Saccharomyces cerevisiae S288C: one gene and its partners. The protein of the gene in region 2 interacts with the protein of the main gene of each other region in a biochemical or structural test. Each region holds a gene or a part of one and is shown on either strand. Other genes may lie near its edges. The genes, in order: UFD2, OTU1 and CDC48.

Evidence for each region.
Region 1: the proteins of OTU1 (region 2) and UFD2 form a complex in vitro, tested with the Saccharomyces cerevisiae proteins (one study listed by BioGRID).
Region 3: the proteins of OTU1 (region 2) and CDC48 form a complex in vitro, tested with the Saccharomyces cerevisiae proteins (3 studies listed by BioGRID).

What each region holds. Positions count from the first base shown.
Region 1 is NC_001136.10:119,970-123,727, forward strand, and holds the start of UFD2 (ubiquitin-ubiquitin ligase UFD2), read right to left. Parts: upstream 1,624-3,758; coding exon 1-1,623. Other genes in the region: RBS1 (Rbs1p), read left to right, coding at 2,247-3,620. UniProt on the Saccharomyces cerevisiae protein: E4 ubiquitin chain-elongation enzyme specifically involved in polyubiquitin chain assembly.
Region 2 is NC_001138.5:44,027-47,555, forward strand, and holds OTU1 (ubiquitin-specific protease OTU1), read right to left. Parts: upstream 1,535-3,529; coding exon 629-1,534; downstream 1-628. Other genes in the region: phosphomannomutase SEC53, read right to left, coding at 1-366; LAM5 (Lam5p), read right to left, coding at 1,694-3,529. UniProt on the Saccharomyces cerevisiae protein: Hydrolase that can remove conjugated ubiquitin from proteins and may therefore play an important regulatory role at the level of protein turnover by preventing degradation.
Region 3 is NC_001136.10:237,020-240,777, reverse strand, and holds the start of CDC48 (AAA family ATPase CDC48), read left to right. Parts: upstream 1-2,113; coding exon 2,114-3,758. Other genes in the region: YDL124W (aldo-keto reductase superfamily protein), read right to left, coding at 1-519; HNT1 (adenosine 5'-monophosphoramidase), read left to right, coding at 1,172-1,268, 1,380-1,759. UniProt on the Saccharomyces cerevisiae protein: ATP-dependent chaperone which probably uses the energy provided by ATP hydrolysis to generate mechanical force to unfold substrate proteins, disassemble protein complexes, and disaggregate protein aggregates.

The DNA of each region.
Region 1 (3,758 bases), on a different chromosome or scaffold from region 2:
AATGTATAGAGAATAGTTAACTGGACCTTCTACAACAAATTCTGGATAGTATTTAAAAGGCACTGGAGCATGCGCTCTCAAAAAATCAGCGTTGTCCACGTTTTCAACACCTATTTGGTCCGGAATTAATGGCAATTTAATTTGTTTAAACGGAAATTCGTGTTCAGGATCCACAACACGAATCAAGAACGTAGATGCACCACAAATAAAGTCGAAAACCTCTAGTTGAAGAGATCTATGAGCGAAGAACCCTTGAAGAGCAAATCGCAAAGATTCTGTTGTTTTCAACGCCTTCTCCATCTTGGATAATTGTGCTGTAATGAATCTGGCAAAGACATCGTGGTTCGCAGCTATTTTCTTTACTTTTTCAATTTCTTCCTTTAACGCTTTGATTTCAGATCCCATCTTCTCTTCAAATGATAATGTACCTCCCAGACCATAATGCAAATAGGTTAATGTCAAGAAAAAGCAATCAGAGATGAAGTTTGGCTTAGAATCTGCTGTTTTTCTGTTCTTGTCATAAAATGCATCTGCCTCTTTAAAATCAGAATTTAATCGTGTTTCCCCTGATAAATCAATAAATAAACTTGGGTTGTTGAAGTAATTTGCGTCGATCTTGTCGATTTTCTTATATGAAATATCTAGAAATGGTTGAGAAAATCTAACCAATAACAAAGTGATATTGGACATAAATCCGTTAGAGGATAGTTCTTTGAATGGTGGATGATCGGCTCTACGTAAATGGTTTTTATTAGCGATATGGGCAAAATAACTAATCATATCAGTCCTTGAGTTTAAGGAGCCACGAACAAGCTTATCGACAATAAAAAAGAGTCTATCTATGACAACTTTATGCTCAGCTTGTAGAGATTCATGGATCATGGCTGTCTGTTGTTTGGAACGCAAAAGGTTATCGCCGTAGTTCCGGATTGCCACAGCAGCTTCTATGGGAGAAAGAGATAAAATAGGCCCCAATATCGTTTTCCTTTCAAAATCCTGTGGTTTACAGCTATAGTCTGCAAAAAAACCATCTATTTTAGTGAATATTTCTGCAATAGGTTTAAATGTAACAAATAACTCAAAAATGGTAAGAACGTTATTGTAAATTACAGATTCGTTCAAATCAAAATGGCTGACATGTTTATTACAGTATTCTAATAATGTCGGGAAAACAGCGTTAAGTAAATCCAAAGCGGTACCTTCTAATATGGCTCTTTGAATGATTTGGGAAAGGAAATCAGTATATGAGTTAACGTTAGAAACAATTCCAGTGATATAATTGATGAAAGCACCATTCATGCAAAAGTTTTCTATTTGTAAGGCAACGACACCATAGCCAATGACAAGACGATCAATCTCTTGGAAAGTGGAATGTAATGACTCAGCATTTGGCTTGTTTTTGGTGATTCTTTTTTGTTGCTGATTACGGCGAAAGCAATCGTTCAAATATTCAAACGGTTTATCCAACTTCTCATTCTCGGTGAGTTGATATAATAGTAGCGTATCAATAAAATCAACTCCAAGAGTTGAGCCTTGAGGCACTTCCTCGGACTTCAATAGAGAGTAGCCACGGGTATCGGAAGGATCGGTGGTGATTTGTAAAATATCTTCTATGGCGGTCATGATCTATGGAATGAGGGTTCTACTTTCAAAGTTAACTTTTCCCCTTAAACAACTTGTGGTCAACTTTACCTTTCTATTGGCTGACACAATTCTCAAAGATATAATTAACGTTTACTGTGGCAACAGCAAGTGGTTGAGTCTAAAAATGTGAATAAAATGGCAATTACTTAATGATTAACAATGATTGCGGCGTACACCTCTATTATTTTGTTGCCAATGGTTAGAATCTACCTTTGATCTTCAATTCACCTTTTGTAATAAAGACAGACTATCGCCTCTGACGAATACTGACAAAATAGCGTCCTCGACGAAAGGATGAATCGTTAAGCGCAAAATAATATTGATATAATAAGAATATCGATTAAGAAGCGTTGGCTAGTGTCATATGCGGGTTAGCCTATCTGTTTCTTCTTTCTTTCACATACAACTCGACAAGTTTTGGCGTAGGCAATTGAGCCATATTGTACCAGCAAGCCGTGGTGACAGTATGTTGAAACGTGCATCTTATAATGGGCGCACGATTTATTTTATTTTAATTAATTTTTTAGTTATTTCGTATCGTACTAACAACTAAGATATTCAAGTCTCTTCAAGTATATAAGGAGTTAGGGCAGAAGTAGGTGATGACAGCACTAGATTCTCGAAACTGGGGATTGACACCCGCTATGGAAACGGGCTTGTTCCAGAAACCACAGGACCGTATCTTTATAATAGAGCTGGAAAATTCCATAGTGTCATTCATAAACTCAAACACAGAATCATTTCAGCTAAGACCGATGAATTCATATTATAGGCTTCTATCGCACCAAATAGCTGAGTACCACAACTTGAACCATGTTTTGGCAAGAACTCAAGATAGTTGTGTGATTCTTTTCAAAGGTGAGAATTTCCAAAAGATTGAAGGAAAGCCACTCTTACAAGAGTTGCAGCTGAACAAAAAACCGGAAGAGTGTGCTTCCTCAAGTGAGAGTATTGAAAAATCGAACAATAACAGAATATTTCGAATCTTAAAGCGGAAAGAGGTAGGTAACGAGTGCGATTATAAAATCGATGGCAATACACGTACACCAAATAGCAATTTGACAGCCAATTCAAATAAGGACCAAAAAATCGAAATCGATGATAAATCTAGTACTGATTTGGAACAAGAAAGAATTGAGAAGGAAAGACTTTATGAACAACGTAAACAAGAAATTTTTGATAAGCTCAACAAGAGTGAAGACGATGTAAAGTCAACCAACAGTAGCGGTAGTAGTGATAGTGACAATGAATGGAGTGATTGGTTGAACGGAGATGACTCTAACACACAAACTAGTAACGGTTCAGTTAGCTCTTCATCACCATTCAATTCATCTGTGACGACGATACAAGTAAACAAACCTCAACAACAATTTTATGATAGTCGAAGAGGAAGAGGAGGAAGAAGAAGAGGAACAAACAATTACAAAGATGCCTATAGAGGCCAAAGTCGTCGGAATAAAGAAAACGGCGGTTACCAATCGGGATATTCTTCGCCATATCTTGTGTATCCTCCTCCCCAAATGGGTGGCAATAGTCTGCCAACCTACCCTCTAATGTATAACCCCGCTGGTCCTGCCCCCGGTCCTGCACCTTCACCCATGGTAATGGGCAATAACACAGTCTTCATGAACCCTTACATGTACAATATGAATCCCCAAGGGTCCTGTTCGTTTGGCACCCCAATCCCTATGTATCCCCCATACCAATATCAATATCAATACCAATATAACACTCAGTATCACAGCGGGCCATATAGCAATACACCAAGCTATAATTCTAACAATTACACAAGATCCTCAGCAAATAAGTACCACCATTTTCAAGGAAAAAATTCATATTCTGGTGCGATTCCGAAACGTAGTGATGACAGTAACAGTAATAAGAATGAGGGAATTCGTAGGGCTAGTGTTGAGGGTTCGCCGTCATCTAGGGATACTGATTCGGTAGAGATGAAATTTGATAAATTAAACATTTAGCGTGAGGAGTGAACTATACATAGCGAAAAAATTACGTAACGGTTTATAGAAATTCTAGTATGAGAACAGTAATATATGAGAAAAAGTTGTTTTCACTTTGTGTTCGAAAAAATAAGTATTTGAAAACGAAAAAATAGT
Region 2 (3,529 bases):
TCTCTTTGGCAAGTCAATTTCAGATAGATATCTCAAAATGAAGACGGCCAATTTATTGTATTTTTCCTCACCGAGCCAGTTGATGAAGGATTGAGAAGCTAATTCCTTACCTAATCTGTAGGCGGTCAAACCATTTTCAGAGAAAGAATAGTCAAATTCATCTAAAACGTTTGGGCCTAACTGTTCTAATTGCTTGCTTAAGTCAGAACCACCGACAAAACCAATGCAGCACTTGTTTCTCAACTTGGCCAAAGTTTTTCTAACTTCTTCAGAAACAGTTAATCTGGCTGGTGTCAAGGTACCATCAACATCGAATAAAACCAAAGTTTCTGGTTTTTCCTTGTAAGCGAATTCAGCGATACTCATTATTGGTGGTTATATTAGCAGATAGGTAAAAAAGGAGAAAGAAGTACTAAGGAAATTGTCGATTTAGTTTTCGTCAAAGATCTTATACTTTGCCAAGAAGAATAGACGATATAAACAGAAAAATAAGTGAAAAGAACACGTAAAAAACGGCACATTTTAATATATTTCAAATTTTTTTTTCATCAACGACAAAAGGAATGCATTTTATCCACTTTTCGTGTCTCATGACGAGTATACCGATAAACGCCAAATGCGTATTTTATTATCTATTTTGGCCAAAATCAACGTGTCCCGTGGATTCAGCGTGCCTAGCAACTTCTCTTTCACCCACAAAGGTCATTTGGCAAGTGTTGCATTTGATCTGGGCCTTATGAGTGTTGAAGGAATAGCCAGTTTGCTTCAAATTTGAGGCCAGTTGCAAAGCTGCTGTTAGAACATCATCTGATTCCGGCTGGTTCTTGTTGAAAACAGTTTTAAACTCGTTCATGGTCAAGGAATCATAGTGGATTCCGTTGAACAGTATCAAAATGTAGTTGTCGAACTTGTCCTCGTTGAACTTTTCGATTTTAACAGCGTCAATGTCGACTACATAAATAGCTACTGCGAGTGCATCGGATATGATACCAATCTCGATGGCTCCACCCCAAGATTCCATTTTCAAAATCCATTGCGCGTAATCTTTGTTAGGTTTGTCCAATATGGCGTCATTGAACTTGACGGGGTTGTTGAGGACCTCCTTAGAGACCATCTCCCTGAGGTCACGAACGCTATCTTGTTTGAAGATGCCATAGGCAATAGCATGGAACAGACACGAGTTGTCGTCGAGAACAGGATGTACTGATAGGACGTTTTCTCCACTGCCACCAATTGACATCTCAGTGCTCTTCAGCACCCTCTTTGGTTTGGGTTGTGGTGGTGGCAAACTGAAGCTTTCGTTACTATCAGAGGACTCTATTGTAATCTTTTCACCAGAGTTAATACCCAGCTCGTCCAGCTGGGTTTGTCCCAAAGAAGCGTCTTCCCCTTGCAAATTGATCCTTTGAGGCGGATATCCAAACCTCATCGTCTTAACATCTACATTGATATGCTCAATAAGATCATTTAGTGTTGCATCTTGCTTCAAAGTAACGACTTGGTTGATTCCTGCTCCAGTAACTTTCAGTTTCATCTTGAAAGTTTCTTCTCTTGGTTATCTTCTTCAATGTTATCTTGTTTTCAAAGGAAAAAGTTGTTATTTGCCACTGAAATCGGCTTATTTCGCCCTTTACTATTAGTTACTACCATTGCCCTATAGAAACGATATATATTGGTACGAAGAAAATACAGATCACAACTTCAGTTCTACCAATTGCAGCTTCACCAGTTGATGTAATGAGACAGCAATTGAACGTATGTAGAACAGATTAAACAATAGCAAAACGACCACAATCAAGTATAAGAACAACCATGTTTCCATGGTGACCTTGAGACCTTGCTGCTCTGCAATTGCGGGAGCCGTAACAACCGCTTCTCTTGGTTGTTCAAGGTCAACCTCTTTCAACTTATTTTTTACTTCTTTATCATCTTGCTCCTCTTCCTCCTTGCTGATAGTAATTTGGCACTCTTCGACATTGTTCTTGATGAACTTGGAAAGAATACGCTCCATTAATTGCGCAGCCTCCAATTGACCATTCTTGCATCCATTTTCAACCATACCTTTGATCCAACTGGAACCAGTCCATTCCACCCAAAAGGATACCCGTAACAGACACGTTATTTCGTCATTCCAACGGATTAGATACCTTGTCTTAGTTGAGAAACTACCACCACTGGGCACGTTCGGAGTGCGTATGCTACTGATAACCTCATAGTAAGTATCAGGATCTTTTCTCTTTATTACCTCAGCAACATAACATGTCGTGGACTTGGGCCCCGCAGGAAAGTGCAATGCTTTCTCGTATGAATACTCACGCTTCAAAGTCATGGAAGATCCGTCAATGCTCGTGAAATTTGGAATAGTGGTAATTTGTGAACCTTCTTGACCCCGTAAAAAATCTAGAAGAAATTCGTTTTGCTCTGAGTTGAACATGATCTCAAAAAGTATACCAGGTGCACAATCGAATGGTAACTCCTTGAGAACAAACTCGTTATTGGCCATAGGTTCAGCCGGAAAGCTTGTTGAATGATGATATATTGGACCATCATACTGATACGAGGAATCGGCACGCAGTTTATACGCTTTCTCTTTTTCTTTATCCGGCGAGGAACTCGTACTATTGGGGGTAGTCTCATTTGTAGAGATATTTTCATCGTCATTTTCATTAGTGTCATTATCATTAGCGTCTTTATCATTGTTTTCCTCATCGATGGAGTTTATTGCATCATCAATCTCTTTGCCATTTCCTGACTTTTCTGCTTTAGTATTGATGTTTTCGCTGGCCATGTCCTTCTGCAACAAGGTTCTTGACCACACTTCTTTCATTAATCCAAATGCAGCATCCCTGGATATAAAACCATTAAAGAGAGTTTTGCCCATCTTTGTTTCGATGGATATTGCGCTGGGGAACAACCCAGCAGCAGAAGTTTTTTCCATAAACGTGACATCTTCGAACGCAATCAGTACTTTAGCAATCCAACCAAGAACATTGGAGTTGAAGCAGAGATGCGTTTCTGTTATGTATAGTTTCCCCTGGTAAAGCAGCTCTCTATTCAGCCCACAATTAAAATCATCCAGTAGTCTGTCATCTTTAGGAACGGACTTGAATGTCTCATGAAAGTCTTTATTTCTTTGCTCAGACGCATAGTGATAAGGTGTGTCCATGTAACGTTCTTCCACGAATCGTCTATGATCGTAATTGTCTTCTTTCATTTGGGAAGGAGTGAGTCTTGTCTTGACCTCATCAGGCTTTTCCACCTGTTGCAAGGGAGAGCCTATTTCAGCAATTGTGGCATTACTGATACGGCGGCTTGATCTTCTTTTGGACCCCATGGAAGGCTCCCTTCTATGTGATATAATGCTTGGTTGCGAAACTGGCGAAGTTGGCGTAGTTGATCTAGAAACTGGGGATGGCACGTTTGACTTAAACGAAGAGATCATTCCACTGAAGAACGAGGACGTCGAAGAAGTCCTTGATTGATCGTGCTTGATCTCTGTAGGGTGTTCATCGGCGGCACTTTGGTTTGT
Region 3 (3,758 bases), on a different chromosome or scaffold from region 2:
GACTTCCGCAACTTTCAGAATTCTTTGCAAGTCTTCCACAGCAAAGTTGGAAACACCGATATTTTTAGCTTTACCTGATTTGTACAATTGCTCCATGTCCTTCCAGGCTTCCTCCAAACTTAACCCGTTGACCTCTTTGGAAACAAATGGGCTATGCAAAAGGTATAGATCGACATAGTCAGTGCCCATCTTCTTCAAAGCTAAATCTAGTCCATCCGCTGGGGAATCTGACATCTTGATTTGAGGTGAGTACTTGTCTGTCAAGAATATTGCATTTCTTGGTTTTTCGGTGAGGCTAAGTGCCTTCCCAACTTCTGGATATGTTCTGTAGATCTCAGCAGCATCAATGTGAATAATGCCAGGTAACTTCAGAGCATAAACAATCTGTTCGACCAAACTGTTCGAAAAGGTAGCATCCGTTTCTTCGTTTTTATACCATCTAGTACCTGTCCCAATGATGGCGATTGCGGGGATTTTATTTCCATTATTCAAGGTAAAGAACTGTTGGTGAAATGACATCTGTAAAAGTGTTGTTAACTGACCTCCGTTTCTTTAGGGTAACACAACCGTTTACATGTGTATCCATATCCACGTAGTATCCGACTATCAATATATCCGTATATATATATATATATATATGGGATGAGCGTATGTGAGTGTTTTCGTAGATATTCAAAATACGAGTAAAGGAGATCCTAGGTGTGGATTAGTAAGGGGAGTGTGGCAACTTCCTTTTTCCGGTTAATTCTCCGCGCTTTCGTTAGACTATTTTGCAAGGACCCAAATAGGAGACGCATGGAGGCTTCTACAAAACAGCGTGCCGTTTTGATGGCATGAGCAGGGGGCGCAAAGGAAACACCGGTAAATCGCGCAAGACCTTGTTGGCCACGTAGCCTCAAAGGTTGAATTGACACTTGTCTACAGAACTTGAAAAGTACAAAAGGAGGTCACATAAAACAGTAAGCTTGAGAAGCTTTAAGATATGGTGCGAATCGTTACAGAATATTCCTTGCAGAAATAATGGCGGGTCCGTTCTCTTCTGAAGAAGTTACCGCCCTACTGAAGCATTGCTGTACGATCGTGTAATGTGATGTGTGTTCGACTGGAAAGCGGAGAACATTATGAAGTAAAAGGACAATCAGCACGCCTTCCAGACTTTTAAGAAACATTGATGGAGCCATTGATATCGGCACCGTACCTAACAACAACAAAAATGTCTGCTCCTGCTACGCTTGATGCTGCCTGTATTTTTTGCAAGATTATTAAAAGTATGTCACATTACTAATAAAGAGCTTACACTCACACCAATGATGGCGATAGTCTCTATGTAGTACATATACATAAAGCAGAATACTAACAATCGATCCGCTATGCAACAGGCGAAATTCCATCCTTCAAATTGATTGAAACAAAGTACTCGTATGCTTTCTTGGACATCCAACCTACTGCTGAAGGTCATGCTTTAATCATTCCTAAGTACCATGGTGCGAAGTTGCATGACATCCCGGACGAATTCCTTACCGATGCTATGCCGATTGCCAAGAGACTGGCCAAGGCAATGAAGTTGGACACTTATAATGTGTTGCAGAATAATGGTAAAATTGCGCATCAAGAAGTCGACCACGTCCACTTCCATTTGATTCCTAAGAGAGATGAGAAAAGTGGTTTGATTGTAGGGTGGCCAGCCCAAGAAACGGACTTCGATAAGTTGGGCAAGCTACACAAGGAATTGCTTGCCAAACTAGAAGGCTCCGATTAGAGTAATGCATGCTATGATTTCTTTTAGCGTTTTCTTTTCATATTTAAGTTTATACATATGGGTGTGTTTGCTTCCATTCATATCCACTCTATAATGCTAACAATCATGTTACTAGCCATCGTTGCTATCGATACCTTATGAACAGCTCTAACTCCTTCCTTTTTAACCTACCGCCTTTTGCGCACTACCCGGCAACCCCTCGAATGTGAATTCGGTGGCAAAAAAGGACATATATCAGGGCCGTGTATTTAAGAGATCCGCAGTTGATGTAGTCAATTAATCTAGTTCTATTAAGATTTGACTCAACGCCATTGACTCGATAACTGGCTCAACTACAAGACAGATATACAAATCATGGGTGAAGAACATAAACCACTTTTGGACGCCTCGGGTGTCGACCCTCGTGAGGAGGATAAAACCGCCACCGCCATTTTAAGAAGAAAGAAGAAGGACAACATGCTTTTGGTGGACGATGCTATCAATGATGACAATTCTGTCATTGCTATTAATTCTAACACCATGGACAAATTGGAATTGTTCCGTGGTGACACCGTTCTCGTTAAGGGCAAGAAGAGAAAAGATACTGTCTTAATTGTGTTGATCGATGACGAATTAGAAGACGGAGCATGCAGGATAAACCGTGTAGTTCGTAACAATTTACGTATTAGGCTGGGTGATTTAGTTACAATTCATCCTTGCCCCGATATCAAATACGCTACTAGAATTTCTGTGTTACCAATTGCTGATACGATCGAAGGTATAACTGGTAATCTTTTCGATGTTTTTTTGAAGCCTTATTTTGTGGAAGCCTACAGACCAGTGAGGAAAGGCGACCATTTTGTTGTCAGAGGCGGTATGAGACAAGTCGAATTCAAGGTTGTGGATGTCGAACCTGAAGAATATGCCGTCGTTGCTCAGGATACTATTATTCACTGGGAAGGTGAGCCAATCAACAGGGAAGATGAAGAAAATAATATGAATGAGGTGGGTTACGATGATATTGGTGGTTGTCGTAAGCAAATGGCTCAAATTAGGGAAATGGTTGAACTACCATTGAGACATCCTCAGTTGTTCAAGGCTATCGGTATCAAGCCACCAAGAGGTGTTTTGATGTATGGTCCCCCTGGTACTGGTAAAACCTTGATGGCAAGAGCTGTTGCTAATGAGACCGGTGCCTTTTTTTTCTTAATTAATGGTCCAGAAGTCATGTCAAAAATGGCTGGTGAATCAGAGTCTAACTTAAGAAAGGCCTTTGAAGAAGCCGAAAAGAACGCTCCAGCCATCATTTTTATCGATGAAATCGATTCTATAGCTCCAAAGAGAGACAAGACTAATGGTGAAGTTGAGAGAAGAGTTGTCTCTCAATTGTTAACTTTAATGGATGGTATGAAGGCAAGATCTAATGTTGTTGTCATTGCTGCTACCAATAGACCAAATTCGATTGATCCCGCTTTAAGAAGATTTGGTAGATTCGATCGTGAAGTCGACATTGGTATCCCAGATGCTACAGGTAGACTTGAAGTTCTACGTATTCACACCAAGAACATGAAGTTGGCTGATGATGTTGATTTGGAAGCATTGGCTGCTGAAACACACGGTTACGTGGGTGCTGATATTGCCTCTTTGTGTTCTGAAGCTGCCATGCAACAGATCCGTGAAAAAATGGACTTGATAGATTTAGATGAAGATGAAATTGATGCAGAGGTGCTCGATTCTTTAGGAGTCACCATGGACAACTTCAGATTCGCATTGGGCAATTCAAACCCATCTGCATTGCGTGAAACCGTTGTTGAAAGTGTCAATGTTACTTGGGATGACGTTGGTGGCCTAGATGAAATCAAGGAGGAATTGAAGGAAACTGTAGAATACCCAGTCTTACATCCAGACCAATACACAAAGTTTGGGTTATCACCATCAAAGGGTGTGTTGTTCTACGGTCCACCAGGTACAGGTAAAACTTTGTTAGCAAAAGCTGTAGCTACTGAGGTTTCTGCCAACT